2 linked regions of the Rhinolophus ferrumequinum genome follow. The protein of the gene in region 1 interacts with the protein of each later gene in a pairwise test. Links are inferred from orthologs where the notes say so. Each region holds a gene or a part of one and is shown on either strand. Other genes may lie near its edges.

Region 1 (7,436 bases):
CTGCTTTTTTCATCATTATACCATCAGTATGGTTTAAGTACTCTGCCTGGCACAGAGCAGAGCTTAAAAAAATATTTGTTGAATAATAGAACCATCACATTAAATAATATAGAGAAAATTGGGTTTTAGGTTCTGCTGGTCTCTCAAACTCATTTTATTTATATATTTTTTAGAAAATGTATTCATTCATTTATTTTTGCTGAAAAGGAAAATTACATTATATACTGCTTACTCAAAATATTGATATATCTTATACTAACTTGTCAAATTGAATTATTAAATTTGAAAACTCCCACAACATTTTTTTAAATCAGGTTATTATGGGTTTTCCACACTTCCCATATTTCAAAAGAGATTACTTTGGCTTTTACGACAATGAGCATGTTCTTCCACCATGACAAGTCTATCCCAAGTACCACTAAATTCTATCACTTTTCCAGAGTTGGAACCATGATATGGAGAAAAACTCAGCCTATATTAATTTATAACACAGATCATGCGAGTCTGTTAGGATGGAAAACACACTAACATATGCTTAGCATCTCATTCAGATTTTAAAAATTATTAAAATTATTATTACATAAATAATACTTGTCTGATTTTTTTGATATGTACTAGATATTGGTTAGTAAGTATGGTAAGAAATAGTGAATTTTGCATAATTTTGATATTTTCACTCTGTAGTTTTTAAGTTGCTGGCAAAGCTGGATCAAATTTAGTCTTTCTAAGATGATACCTATATAATTTATTTTATGAAATAAAATTTATCAGTTCTAGTGCTTCCTGAATCTTCTTTAGCCATAAACATTTTTATTTAACCAACAGGAAATTTTAAATACAAAGGGCTAAAAACGTGATTTATATATTTATTTTGAGGACTTCAAAAAAGATCATGTTAATCATACAGTTTTGTTTTTTTTTTTAAGTCTATATCTTGGTACATTTTTCCTGTAAATTTTAAGATATAAATTTTACTCTGGATTTTTTTTTTTTATCATCCTACTGCATTTTAAAAAAAAGGTGACTTTAAATGGATGTGATACATAACAATCTTCAGTTTCTCAATGAGAAAATCAACTTCGGAAACAGTCTTATGTATTTTTTCATATTTCTAAAGGCATTAGCAAACCCTGCTAAATGTGCTATTTGAACTCCATGGAAAGTCTTTAGTCTTACCCTCTGACACTGGCCTCATGACATCACTTCTGTTCCTGTATATCTAGTATGGATTTTCCTTCATTGTGTAGTTGCCTCATTCACTCATGCATTCTCTTACTCACTTCCTCACTTATTGACTCATACAATTGTTTAACAAGTATTTCCAAGTTTCTACTATGTGCATAGCACATAAGAATGAAGGACACAAAGGAATATAGGGTATAGTTCTTAAACTTGAAAGAGGTACAATGAAAACATTTTAAACAAATCAAAAAATTAAAAACTGTAGGAATTTAGAATAAAGGTGCTTGTTGGCTCAGATTATTTCCTAATAGCGTCATAATAATAGTTCCATTAAAAGGCTCTGATTTTTCATAATATATATCTTAGCCTTTTCTGGAAAATGATAAAAATGCAGACAATTTAAAGAAAAACAATAGGTAAAATAGCTGCTGTTTGTTCCTAGCTGTCTCTAAATTAGATTGGGATATATAATTTCATTTCACTGAAATTACTTAGTGAAATGTAATAGTTTCAATGACTTTGTTTTTTTAAGAACCACAAGATTGAATCAAATTTTAAGTTATACACAAAGTATCCCTGAATTACTGAAAAACCTGTTACAGGGAGAATAAAAGCCAAGTCCAAATAAAGTATTAATCTTTCAAAGGACACAACATTCACTTTCCAAGCTTCCACGTAAAGTTCTCTCATGTTCCTCTCTCATTTTCTTCCCAAAACGCATTCTGAAAAGATATTTTTAAAAGATTGCAGCAGGCTATCAGGAATCATATTTGCCAGGTCCTTCTATGAAATCACTGGAGAAAGGGTCCAGATTTACATTCCATTAAAGAAAAAAAAATTTGTAGTATTTACATAGAGGCAATCATAAACTTAACATTTGGTTTTTATCCTTCTTCTGCTTTCCATTATAAGCAATAAAAATTGAATTTAACAACAATAACAAAAAATGGAGCTCACAGGCTCACTTATCTTTAAAAAAATAAAAAGTCCCAGCGTATAACATTTAAAATTTGATATAATGAGGCTCAATGTTTCAAAGCTGATGTCAGGGGACAGACATGGTTCACATCCAATCATTTTAAAACAAGCTTTTAGTGTAGGTAGCTATATTGGTAGAGAATATGATTTAATAAAATGCAATATGTTCAAATCCATGTAATGAGAATTATTTGAAAAGTGAATTCCTTTTGTTTCTGATTTACCATTTAAATTCACTTATATTTCTCCAGCTTCTTTCTTTTGGTAACCTAATGGAAATAGAATTTCAGAACCCTCATACAGCTTGGTCACTGCCACTGTCAGTGTATAATTGATCAGTAGGGACCCTGTAGAGGCTGAGTTACTTCTTCCTTCAGTACAAGTTACAATTTTAAGCTTTTTTGTGCCTCAATTTTTCCCCAGTGAGCAAAATGATATACAAATTTTCGTCAACTTTGTAAAGGATCACTTGCTTGATTTTTTATAGCATTATATATCCTGCAAAATGTGCCACGTTATTATTTACTGTCTGTGCACATAGATTTAGGATCATGTACAAACTAGTATGAATGTATTGATTGACTGCCTGTTACTTTTTAGAACAGAAGTTAGAAAACCACAGAAGTTATTTGACCGGTGCAGAATTTTGTTTGTTTGTTTTTGAAGGGTGGCGGGGAGAGGAGGACTGATTAAATCATCCCAAATCAGTCTAAAAACTCAACCCATTTAGATTAAGAGAAGTATGCTGCTAACTAATTCATAGAAAAAGGGGAACAAAACCAAACATTTCTTCAAAAACATGATTCTAGTCAGTGTTTGCTGCTGGGCTGGAAAACAAAATAAAAAGATATTCCCACCCCATCTTTGGCATTCTTTAATGTCAATGCCACTTGCTGTGATTTGTGCTGGGCAAGGGTAGTCACCGTCCCTTGATCCCAATCCATTTAACAAGTACCGACACTCTGGGCATACTGTACAACAAAATAAATACATTAGCAAAACCATTTCCCCCTTCATTTCAGCCCAGGCATAAGAGATAGGTTACTTAAAATTCAAGTGCCAGGAAAGCCTATTGTAAAAGGGAAATATTTTCAAGTGAATTCCGTTTGATCTTTTTTTTTTTATAGGGGCTCCTACCAGCCTCTCTCCCTTCCTCCTCAGACCCTGGAAACCAATTAGTCTCAGCACGGAGGCCACAGATCAAGTTGAAATGGCTCCTTTTTATTTTTAGGAGATATAATTTCAGCCAGGATGTCTAGTCAGTTGTCACATAGTATACTTAGCACACTTCTCACTCACAAACACATCCATTGGATTTTCCTTTGGAGAATGCCTAGATCTTTGAGTCTGACTCCTGGAAAGGAATTAGATCTGGTTGCCGTCCAAATCCTTCAGTTCTGACAATGGCATAACATCACAGGGCCACCTCATCTTTCACAGGAAGCCTTGCCAACCAAGTTTTCTAAAAGCCTTCTCTTCCTAGTCTTCTGTCCTCTAGCATTTCAGTGTAGTTCCCTTTGCGTATGTCGTTTGCATACAATTCTGAAAACCTTTCCCCCCCCCCATTATCCAAAGTAGCAGAGAAAAGGGAACTAACTTTGATTTCTAAAACGTTTTTGAAGGGCTTATCTTTTGGGGAAATGTGCCCCAAAGACAAAATGAAAACAGTTAGAGTCTGCCTCTCCTCACCTCCCTATCCTAAACCTGCCGTACATAATTCATGGAGGTGAAAGAAATTATCAGCTGGGTTGGCCTTTTCTTTCTCAGGAACAACATTACAGAAAGAAAAGGGTGTGTGTGTGTGTGTGTGTGTGTGTGTGTGTGTGTGTATCTGGTGAGTTGAAAGGCTTAAGAAAAGGGAGCAGAGCTCTCCCCCAGGAAAGCCTAAGCTCAGCAGATGGGAGGGAACCCAGGGTCGCCTTTTTTGGTCTGAGCTGAGTGCCCCAGCCCCTTGCCCTGCTCCAGCCACGAGCTTTGCGCCCTGGAGCTGTGCCAGGACTTCATACAGCGCCTGACAGGTCGGTGGGTTGGGGTAAGGGGGTGGTTGGGGGGGCTGGGTATTCTCTTTTTCAGAAGACGCCCATTTGGAGGGAAAACTCCCTTTATTGTCCTGGGGCTCCGTAGCACCCCCTCCCCGGTCCCCTATCATTTTTACGCTGATCACACTCATGATGATGAACTTGCAGCTCAGCTTCCTGCCGCCTGCTTGACCCGGGAGCACCAGCAGGCTGCCGGCCTCGCCCTCAGTTCCCTCCTCCTCTTGCAACCCAGGGGCCTCGGGGCGCCGGCGGGGGTTCGAGTGGGCCGGGGCTGCAGGAGCAACGCGCCGGGGCGCGGGGTCCTGCTGGGGAGCGCGCAAGGAGCGGCGCTTCGGCCGCCTGGCTTCCTGGAGCTGTGCTCCTTTGACCCCAGTGGCGGTCCCTGTCACTGCACCGCTCACGCTCCCTCCGGCTCGCCGCGCCCTCGCTCCCTCTCCTCGCCCCCTCGCTCGCTCTCTCCACAGATCGAGGTTGCTCTCGTCTTTTCTCCCCCCCGCCTCCTTCTCACGCCGCGCCCCCGGCCCCCCGCCCCAGCCCGCCGCGGGACCTCCGAGGTCGAAGGTTCTGGCCCACCCGCGCCCCTCGCCAGCCCCGCGCGCCCCCGGCGCGCCTCCCGCCGGCTCCGCGATGGATCGCCTGCTTGCCGGGCGCTGAAGGCATCCCCGGGACCCGGAGCGCAGCCCGGGAAAGGTAATCCGCCCCGGGAAAGGAGGCGGAGGGCGGGGGAGGGGGAGGAGGAGGCCGGGCGCCCGGTGCCGAGCGCGAGAGGAAGGGAAAAAAATGCACACACACAAAGCGGAGCCCGGGTGAGAGGTGCCTTGTCACAGGCGCGTGCGGGGGGCTCCCTGGCTGCGGACCGCGGCTGCCCCGATGTCCCTGACATTCGCACGAGCGGGCACTTCCCCAACAATTCGGAACCCGAGGAGGGCTTATTTTCTACCCCCCGAGCGAAAGCTAATTCTTTTTTAGGTGCTATCTCCCTCCCACTCCCCATCTTGCCCTTCTGCTCTTCTCCCCTCCCCCCAGTCCTCGGCCCCCGACCTCTCGGGGTCTCCACATCCCCGCCCCCTCCTCCGCCGGGATTTCTTAGGAGCGGAGGAGAGGGTGTCGGCGAGGGGCAGCGGCAAAAGCCAAGTGGCGGGAATGGGGGTTGGGACGAGGGCACGGCGAGCTGTTTACTAGAAAGTCCCGGGGTTATGTGTTCGAGCCGCCCCGGCCTAGGCCCGGGTGCATTGTGTTGGCCCGAGCCCCAGGCGCCCGCGGCGGCCGGAGAGAGGTGCGGTGGCCGGGAAGGCGCCGCGCAGCTTTGTGCTGGGGCTGCGCTCCACGGCCGCCCCCGGGGCCGCCCGCGCTCGCGCGCGGCTCTCGCGCCGGGCTTTTCTGACCCTGTCCCCGCGCCCAGACCTCGCTCTCTCCTGCGGTCTCGGGTCTTCACGATCGTAGCCTACGGAGCGAGCTAGAGACTCCGGCTGGGCGGCGGGGATACGAGCAGCGAGAAAAAGTAACCCTTGCGGCCGATTTCTTCTGGAGAGAAGCAGGAGTTCTTTGGTATTTACATGTAACAGGGTTATCTTTGTGAAGCCTTTGAATTCCAGGGTTTTGCGGCCTAGGAGGTGAAGGGGGCATTTTCCCCCCTGGAGATTGGGGAGGAGGGTAGAATCTAACAGCAAGAAAAGAAATTAAGGATGCCCTATTGGGGGTAGATTTAGAGCACATTTACCTCCCCTTCAACAAATCCCAAATTAAGTGCAAATGCAGGTCATGAAAAATGTGTACTTGATTTGAGATGCTGCAAACAAACACAAACAGGTCAGGGTGGAAAACACAAACAAAACTTTAAGTGAAAGAAAAGATTTCCAAGGGGGGTGGGATCCGTGGCCTCCACACCCCCTTTCAACCCTCGCTGGCTCCCTCCCTTCCTTTCTCTGCCGTTCCAGGGAAGCAGCCCGGCTGCTCCCGGGCGGAGAGCCGGGAGGCGACCGCGGCGGCTCCGGGCGCGGGCTCCGCTCTGAGGGTTCGGAGATGCCAACGCGCCCGGGAGGCTGACGTCGGGGGCGTGGGGCTACGATGCCTCTGCGAGGATGGCGCGGTGTCAGAGCTATTGGCCGCCGTTGGTCATCAATCAATCCGGGGCTGGGGGAGAGGGAGAGAAAGAAAGACAGGCGCCCAGCGGAGCCCGGGGCCGTGAGCGTCAGCCCCAGCAGTGCCAGCAGCGGCGGCGGCAGCGGCGGCGACGGCAGTGGCAACCGGGGACTGAGCGAGTAAGGCGAGCTGGTGGTGCTCTAGGAAGGAAGGGGGAGCTGTAGCCGGGACCAGACGGCCGTGAGCCGGGAGGGCAGGGCGAGCGCGCGCGCGCGCGCGCTCGTGTGTGTGTGTGTGTGTGTGTGTGTGTGTGTGTGTGTGTGTAGTTGGCGAAGCCCACCCCCCACACCCGATTTAAAACAAACACACCAATCCAAAGTAGAGAATTCCGCGCCCCCCGCCCCACCATATATAGACTCTACGGATAGCCCGAGGCGCGGGAGGAAAGTGCTGCCCTTCCTCTCCGAAAGAATGTGCCAGCCGGGTGTCCGCAGTGCTGGAGACAAGTTCAGGTGTAAGTGCGGCGGGAGGGAGGGCGCTGTATGGACAGAGGCACGTGGAACTTTGTACATCCCTCCAAAATCCCTGGCAGAGAAGCTGCCGGGAAGGCTTGTAAGCATCGCTCCGGGATGCAGGGATGTGTAACTGGAGGTGGACATAAAAGAGTAGGGGCGGGAGCTGACAAATCACTCGATCTGTGCGGCAGAGGGAGGGGAGCGACATTTGGCGAAGTTGGAACCCGCGAGTTCTAAAGTCTGGACAGGCGGTCTGGCGATCTTCTTAGGGCAAGTGAATAAAATGAGCATCCTTGTTTAAACGAGGAAATCACGGGCCCCTTTCTCATAGGCTATGCCGTGCGGTGCTCCGGTAGAGAGGTCATGAGTTGTTGCTTTGAAACTTTTGGTAAATTGGACTTCTGGCGTTTAGGAGGTGGAGACAGTTATTTAATTCCCCGGCTTTTAATCCTTTCATTGCCAACAAACTTTAAAAGGTTTTCCAACTAGATTCCTTGAAAAAAAAAAACATGCAAATTGCACAGCTTAAGGGACAGGAGAAGTGATTGCTGTCTAGGAAATGCAAAATGTGCTCACATGATTTTTTTTTTTAATATAGAAATCAAACTAGCACCAGTATAAATGTTTCGCAGTACCAGTC
Region 2 (8,427 bases), on another chromosome or scaffold:
GCTCCAGTAAGATGCACCACGTTAATCCTATGGCTCTGGAACACTTGGTATTTCAGTGCGAGCAGGCTCTACATGGCTTGTTACCTTGTGCTTAGCACGTGGTCCAAGATGGTAGATCATGAACATATCTCCATGTCATGAATATAGTCTTCCACTGTAACCCATTTTATGGCTGCATAATATCCCATTATACAAACCAACCCCATGGTAAATTTAGTCAACGTTGTTTCCAACATTTCTCTACTAGAAACAATACTGGAGGATCATTCTTGTAACTAAGTCTTGGTACACTCCTAAAAGACTTGCTGAGTCAAAGTGTTTATTTTGTAAGCTTTTAAAGCTTTTATCACATACCAGTTTATCCTCCAAATAACTGTATGTATTTAGTGAACCATCAGTTATATATTTTGTGTCTATGTTAGTTTCAGAGGCGGAAAAAATGGCATCCATCTCTACATAGTTAATCTGCATTTCTTTAATTACTAATAAACTTGAACTTTTTCTCTATGTTTCTTAACCATTTGTAGAAAACTGCCTGTTTGTGTCTTTTCATATGCAGATTTTTAAGTGCATTATCTTATGACAATTTAAGTAACTTTTAAAATTTACTTATAACCTGAAGAAAATCTTTGTTACTCAATTCCAGAACTACAAAAAGTCCCTTTATACAAGAAGACATAAGCAAACAACATAAAGATGTACAGAATCATTTATAAAATACCTGTGGGTTACTCCTTCCAATCGACATACAACCCTTGGTGAGTTTTCCAACTCCATCATCCCAGTCCCAACCATCATCATCATCATAATCTTCTTCCTCCTCCTCCTCCTCCTCCTCCTCTTCTATCTCACCTTCACCCATCTTCTCATTATTTTGAAGATCTTCAAACAGAACACCATCTTCCTCTTTGATTGTCTTCAAGTCAATGTTTTCACTAGAAATAACAATGTTTTAGTGTGTTTATACATACTCTAATTGGACTTACGTATGAATTTATTTATGACATAATAGCTTAATCTATGCCAATAAATCTAAACGTTTCCCTTTCAACATATCTCCCAATAAACTCCATCATAACACCAAGTTCTCCTGTTTTTCAGAGTTGTTCCACTTGTTGTTTGCTTATTCTCCAGGTCCTGTTAAAGAGGTGTATCAGGTTAAATCCACCTCTGCATTCATGAAGTCAGAATTTATATTGTTACTGTCTCTGCTGAATGCACTGAACTCTGATCAGTACGCCAGACCTGACTCTACGAAAACCATTCAGAGCTGTGTTAAGAGGGGGAAAAAAATTTTCTGACAAAACTTGGGAATAAGTCTAAAGCAGCCTTACCTTGAACTCAACACCACTTTACAACAAAAGGAGCTCTATTATAGATTTGTGTTACACAAGGAATGGTGACTATAAGCACCACGAATGAGAGAAGTAGGCTGGGTATAATTAAACAGAAGTGGGGATTGTCAAACCTAGAGACAAGCCCCAAGTAGAGAGAGCACGATAGGGTCTGTTTTTGCCATATGAGAATTCAGACCCAGTGTTACCATATCTTCTTAGTTTTTCAAGAGCCAGAAATCTGGATTTTTGTGTGAAATCTCCCCGTTAACTGGCATATTCAATTTTAACAAAATACTGTGCATGCCAAACGAAATATGTGTGCAGGTCAGATTCAACAGAGGTACTACTAGTTTTGACCTCTCATATGGAGAACAAGGTCAGAAACCATATAAAACAATTGATAATATGCACTACCAGCTTAAAAAGTCAGATGTGAGTCTAAGTAAATTCAGATGATCAATCCTGAATTTTTTTTTTAAGTGTGTTTTTCCAGGACCCATCAGTTCCAAGTCAAGTAGTTGTTTCAATCTAGTTGTGGAGGGCGCAGCTTACAAAGGCCCATGTAGGGATGGAACCCGCAACCTTGTTGTTAAGAGCACCGCGTTCTAACCAACTGAGCTAACCGGCGCCCCAATCCTGACTTATTAATTAGCCATGGCTTACAGGACTCCAAATCTCCATGGACATGGGTGGGAAGAGAACAAACATTAGGCAGCTGCTATTTACTAGGATTTTATAAACATAATCCATAAATTGATCATTCATTTGCCAATAACCTAGAGTGGCATGTTAAAGTTATGCCTTCAATTGTACTAGGGCTTCTCAACCTCGGTGGACAATTCTTTGTTGTGGGAGGTTGTCTTGTACCTTATAGGATTTTTAGCAGCATCTCTAGCCTCCACCTACCAGATGCCACTAGTGTATTACCATCCCCAGTTGTGACAAACAAAAATGTCTCCAGAAATTGCCCAAAGTCCCAAGGCCGGGGTGGGGGTGGGGGGCGAGGGCGGAGGCAACATCTATTGGATTACCTTTATAATATCCAGTGATGGATAATAAACCAGTGTACACTCATTACCATTAACTATGCACCAGTCACATAGGCTGTTTCTTTTTTCCCTTAACTTCTTCCCTAAGGTCTTTTGCATACTCAGCTGTAAACATAAATCTGGAATGCCCTTCTCATTTCTCTGACTAAATCCTACTTATCCTTCCAGTATTAGCTTACTATCACTTGCTCAGGGAAGTCTACCCTATTCTTCACCCACTTCTCCTTTGTACTACTTTCTAATACAAATCATTTGTCTAATTATTTAATATGTTTCCCCTGCTAGAGCGAATCTCTGTGTCAGAGTGGTTTACTAACATATCCCTACCAACTAACACTATATCTGACACATCGAAAGCCATCAACATATATTTACTAAAAATCTCCAATTGCTTAATAAAATGGCCATGTAATGAAACCTTAATGTAAACATAAAGTAAAAACCGTATTTTTTTTGGGGGGGGGGAATTCCAAAATAATTCTGGTTCATTCTGCTTTCAAGTAAAAGTTATCCTTAATTCCTTTTGTTTCATACCTCACATGCAATCTACCACCAAACTGTCACTTCTACCTCCAAAACATATCCCTATGGTCCTATCTCTAACTCTCACCATCTTTGAACTGAATTACTTCATTACTTTTGAACGGCTTCCACTCTTGCCCTCCAAAACCATCCTCTCCATAGCAGAGTAATTCCTTTAAATCGTAAATCAGATGTCATTTCCCTGCTAAAATCCTTCCTATGGCTTTCTATAAGACCTAGAATAATATCTCAGTTCCTTACCATCATTTGTAAGGCTCTATACGATCTGGCCCCTTCTCACTTATATATTGTTTACCCACTAATCTTCTCAAGTACCTCTGCAGTGCTCTAGGCACAATTACCTCTAAATCTTCCTTTTACAGCCAAGAGGGATCTCACTGCTGGGACTTTGCAAGTGCTGTCCCCTCTTCCTGAATGGCTCTTCTCTCTGCTCTTCCCTAGGTTAGCCCATTATTCTTGTTCAGTTCTGGACTTAACCCCTTCCTGACCAAATCATAACTTGGCCTATCAACTGATTTTAATTATCTGCACAGTATATATTATTATCTGGTTTTTGTTTTTTAAATACCGCTATGTACTCAATTGCCTACCCACCCTCCCAAGTAGAAAGTAAAATTCAATGACAGTAGGGACTTAGTTTGTCTTGTTCATCACTAGCTCCAGCGCCGAGGGCAGAACCTGGCACACATTAGGTGCTCACATATTTTTTGAACACTGAATGTAATTAAAGCTCAAAAACCTGTTTCCCAATCGCTATCCCCATCTCTGCCTCTCAGCGATGCTAACCAACCAACCTGGGAGCCCTGGACTACCTTGACAAGTGGCTGTCATTGATTGCCGTAAACTGGGACGACAGTCACTGCTGGGATGGACGAAGACGCAAAACGCTGTAAAAAGAGGCCCCGAGTGATGAATTACCAGTCTCCCCCTAAACCACAAACAAGTGTTAACTCCCCGACGGAGCGGTGGCGGAAGAGAGAGCAAAATCCCAACAAAGTCGGTGTACTCCACCGCCGTCTACCTGTCGGAGGAATCCGCGTCGTCGAACTGCCCGGGCACTACCCGACTCATCAGCAGCCGCCGGTAGTCCATGACCGAGAGCGCAGTTTCAGCGCCACCGAAGGCCGCCCGCCCGCCCAGCGATGGGTCAGGAACCGCACAGAGACGGTTCTATGTGCGGCCGACCCAACAGCCTCTCCGCAGATGGCCGCCTCGCAAACCACTCAGAAGCCCTCACACCAAAAGTGAGCGCCACGTGCTTTGAGGAATTAGGATCCACAGCCTTTGCACTGTGGCCTGCGCTCAACCGGAGGCCCCGCCCCTACCGGAAAGCTTGGCCTACCGGAAGTCCCGCCCCGGTGCCGGGTTGAGAGCTTGGAGCTTGCGCGGAAGTGTACGTGACAGCGATACATCGAAATGTTAGGCGGCCTTGAGATGCTGTTCTCGCTGAGCCAGCGCCGGCCGTTCCATCTGGAGTTTTAGTTCCTGCACCTCGCTTTGTGTTTCCTGCCGCAGAAGGACGCGCCAGCCAGCCCACAGATTGTTTGGCCTGGGGGCTCACACCCACAGAATTTCCCAAATCTGGCAGAGAGACTTCGAAGCCCCTAGGCCGCGCCCGCGGGGAGCGCGGGAGCCCCGCAGGCTTCCCCGCCGACATTGGCTGGCGCGGGCGGGCGGACGTCACACTGGGACGTTCCAGCGCGCCTGCATCCCAGCTGCGAGTTTTTAAGAGCCATCCGTGGAAAAGGTTGAAAAGTGTTCTCCCTCCCACAAAACCTATTGCGCGGGGAGGAAGCACGAAATCCTTATTGTGGATCCACGAAACTGCATGGACCCTGGAAGTGAGCACGCTTTTGCGACTTAAAGAGTTTGGTGCATTGTTTTGAGATGAAAATGAGTTAAGTGCTTTTAGAATATTGAAGTTTGTCATACAACTGAAAAGAATTTAAAAACAAAACCTTGGAGTTTTGGCCAGTAACTCCAGGGACACCTCTTTTAACACCCATCTTAAAACAGCTTTAGAGTGTCTCTGGAATATCTCTCGAAACATTTCAATAAATATTTTAAAAATCTAATATAAATCTCGTAAGGGCAGAATGAAAGATGGCAACAGTAAGCCTAACTTAAAAAAATATACAACTGGCAGATGGGGCCGTGTGAACAAAGTTGTAAAAGTGTAGTTGGAAGTTCTGGGTTCACAGGCAAATTTAAGAAATAAGGCCCTTGCGTTTTTTGCATTTGGAAAAGGCAAAACAAGGATTTTTCAGATCCCCATCACCACAACACAGACAGCATTTATGTGTTTGGAAAACGGAGAAGGTAAGCATAAAGTTGGGCCAATCTCCAATCCTGAATAGCCTGCTTAGCTCAGTGGCTTTTTAATATTGAGGATGACATAAATTTGGAAAAAAAAAATTCCTCAGTAAATTATTAATTTAATAATTCAATAAAGTAATCCAGGCAAATGGGTAGTGACTAGATTGAGATGGTTTAATAGAAATAATTCATTGGAGTGCAGGATTTAGTGAATACTCTGGACAACACTGGTCTGTTTGATGTAGGGTGTATGGAAAAACCATAAGTGGACTTCTCAAAGTATGTATAATCAGTAAATACAAACACTGATACCCTTGAAACAATGGTGAAGATTAAAACAGTAAAATGAATAGGTGCTGAATTGTGAGATAGAGATTTAGACTAAAGACCTTGTAGGAACTTTTAAAAAAATAGATGATTGGGTAGGTAAAGAAGTTTTAGGAGAGAGAAGCACTTGCCAGGGCAGACTACCGAAAAGGAACACGATCTATTTGCAAAGAAGTGAGGCTGAGCAGGAGTACTGGGTAGGTAATGTGGGTTCAGGCTACGGAAGACCTAGAAAGTCAAGCAGAAGAATTTGAAGTCAGCGTGATTGGACATCCTATCCACCTCGATCCCCCTGACAGACTTGAGGGGTCACAAGAATATGGACCAGTGTGTTGACATAAGGGATGGGAAGAAAGCATGAGTTATAAAAACATTTTTAAAAGAGAAATGGACAGGAATTGGTAACTGAATAGCTCATGGATAATGAGATAGAAGGACGCCAGGTTTTGAAACCCGAGTGCCTGAGAGAATGTGGCATTAGGAGGTGAGGGAAAATTAATTTACATTGTTGGATTTAACTTGATAATGAGGTATTCTAATAGCGATTGTCAAGTAAATAGAAATACAGTGTTGATGGAACCTAATGGTAGGTATCTGGTAATATTTTGTGAATATTTTTTGATTAAGTAACTTAGAGATCCCTTCATCTCCTCAGTACCCACATCTTTTAGGTTAATTATTGGATAGTAGCCACACATATTGATTTGCTTTTGTCCGAATTAGTATTACTACCATACAAAGTTACCATGGTATATTCAGGCTAAAATTTTTTATTTTTCCAATAACTTGACAAATGACATTTTAAAATTTAGGACAGTGAACTTTGCTGCTTTCTTAATGTGAGGAAGGATGGGGGTGGGGGGGGAGTTTTCTGTTTGCATATACTAATAGACATTAAAATTATGTTTTTTAAAGAGACCTTCCATCACTCAACAGTTAGGAGCAAGGACTATCAGAAAGTTTGGTCATCACTTCAGATACAATACTGTACATTTTGAAGTGGATGCTTTTCATAAAAATTAGAAAGCATGGCAGAAGCAGATGCCATGAATTCAGAAGTCTTTCTCAAGACTTAACTCACTCAAATTCTCCCTTCTAAATGGAAGCCAGCAGTACTACTTGAGACTTGCCTCAGGTGTGCAGTACTTAAAAGTTCTGGGAGGTACAGACGTATTTAGCATTCACATTGTTTTCCATATGAAATGTCTTCAAAATTACTAGGAACAATGAAAGAATCTCTAACGGAAGCATAGAAGACGGGAACACAGGGTCTGGTTTTCCCAGTTCCACTAGTATACAAAGAAGGGTGAGAATTTTACATACAGAGAGTATTAAAACTGACCCTTCCTAGTCTCTTCGTGAAGTCCCATGAGTACAGCCAGGGGACATTGCCGCAACAACTCAGTCACAGAGTCAGGACAAGAACCCAAGGAGCCTGACATCTGGTCTAGAGCATTTTCCACTATGTCAGCATGCAAATGATTCACATGTTCATAATGACATTGACAGTGCCATGTAAATGACTTCCTGTCTGCATGAAAATTCCTAGTGCTGTTTGTCACAAAATAAAAGAGATTTTTATGTCCCAGGATCTTCATGAATGTCATTCTAAATATTTGACAATTATTAAGCAAGAGTGTAGGGAAATAATAGGAATCTATTAGGTTTGCCACATAAAATTACCTTTTTGTAGTTCAAAACCAGACAAATATTGACAATTCATGTGGTTCAGCCCATAAATTCACATAATCTTTCTAAAAGGCTGTTTAATGCTAGGAAATCCAGAGCTTAACTGCACATTTTGTTGTTAATTTTGCCCCAGGAAGTATACAAGTGAGATATTTGCAGAATAATTCACAGCTAACATTGGAAACAACCTAAATTTTCATCAGTAGGGGACTAGTTAAATTATCGTATATATGTACAGTGGATATGTAAACCTTAAATATGATAATACAGATACATATTTGTTGACCTGGAAATATGGTCACATTGCTTCTCACTAGGCAGAAGACTTTTGAGTGTTTTTCACTTTCTTTTTTAAACAATGTTCAAGATTCATTTTTATAATTATAAAAAACTTTTCATTTTGAAAAAATATTTTGGTCATAGTATTATGAGGTTAATCAGGGCCCAAGATACTATGTACTGAATTATAAAGAATGAATGTCTTAAATTATTTACGTAAGGAGGTCCTCCCTCTTGGATTTCACTGACCATTTTATTCTTTATAAAAAATTTATAGACCTAAGAAACAAAAGGCATATTTCAGTTAAACACAGTAATGTTATAGAAGACTAGAGTTAGAAGTGATCTCTGAAATTTGATGATTAGTGGAGTCAGAAGTCTGTCTAAACATCAATGCATGTGAATAGTGCTATTTTATTTTTCAAGTATATTATTCTTGATGCTTTAAAATCTAATTAGGAGAGGAATGGTCTGAATTAGCAACAAGTCTAAAAGACAGATTGCTATAAAATATAATTCAGTTCTTACTGTACTTCAGATACATTCAATAAGTGGAACAATGCTATAAAAAGCATATTGAATAGAGGTTTGTAACCAGCTGACTTTACTGAGAGATATGAACTTTTTTAGAGTATCATTTAGGTCCACATATTTGGTATACTACTCATGATTAAACCAATGTTTTCTTTAAACATCTAAAATATTTTTCTTACTGTCTTATTTATACTATTAATTTACTTAATAAGCCCTTTCATCTTAGATTACATGAAGTTAACTTTGAGAATAAACCCTACATGAATTTTTATATATTTATATTTATAAGAATTAGATTTCACCCCATTACTAGAATCCTGTTTCATATATCTTCAATGTTAAAAGATGAATAA

The links.
Region 2: the proteins of MPPED2 (region 1) and CAGE1 interact in binary tests that used the Homo sapiens proteins (3 or more experiments, as listed by UniProt). The two-hybrid records come from large-scale screens. The link is inferred for Rhinolophus ferrumequinum from reciprocal best matches to the Homo sapiens genes MPPED2 and CAGE1.

What each region holds. Positions count from the first base shown.
Region 1 is NC_046294.1:26,508,915-26,516,350, forward strand, and holds the start of MPPED2 (metallophosphoesterase MPPED2), read left to right. Parts: upstream 1-4,039; 5' UTR 4,040-4,178; intron 4,179-4,408; exon of another isoform or gene 4,409-4,889; intron 4,890-5,606; exon of another isoform or gene 5,607-5,747; intron 5,748-6,243; exon of another isoform or gene 6,244-6,460; intron 6,461-6,677; exon of another isoform or gene 6,678-6,795; intron 6,796-7,436. UniProt on the Homo sapiens protein: Displays low metallophosphoesterase activity (in vitro). May play a role in the development of the nervous system.
Region 2 is NC_046292.1:86,548,960-86,557,386, forward strand, and holds the start of CAGE1 (cancer-associated gene 1 protein), read left to right. Parts: upstream 1-5,109; 5' UTR 5,110-5,248; intron 5,249-8,427. Other genes in the region: RIOK1 (serine/threonine-protein kinase RIO1), read right to left, coding at 722-935, 3,951-4,021.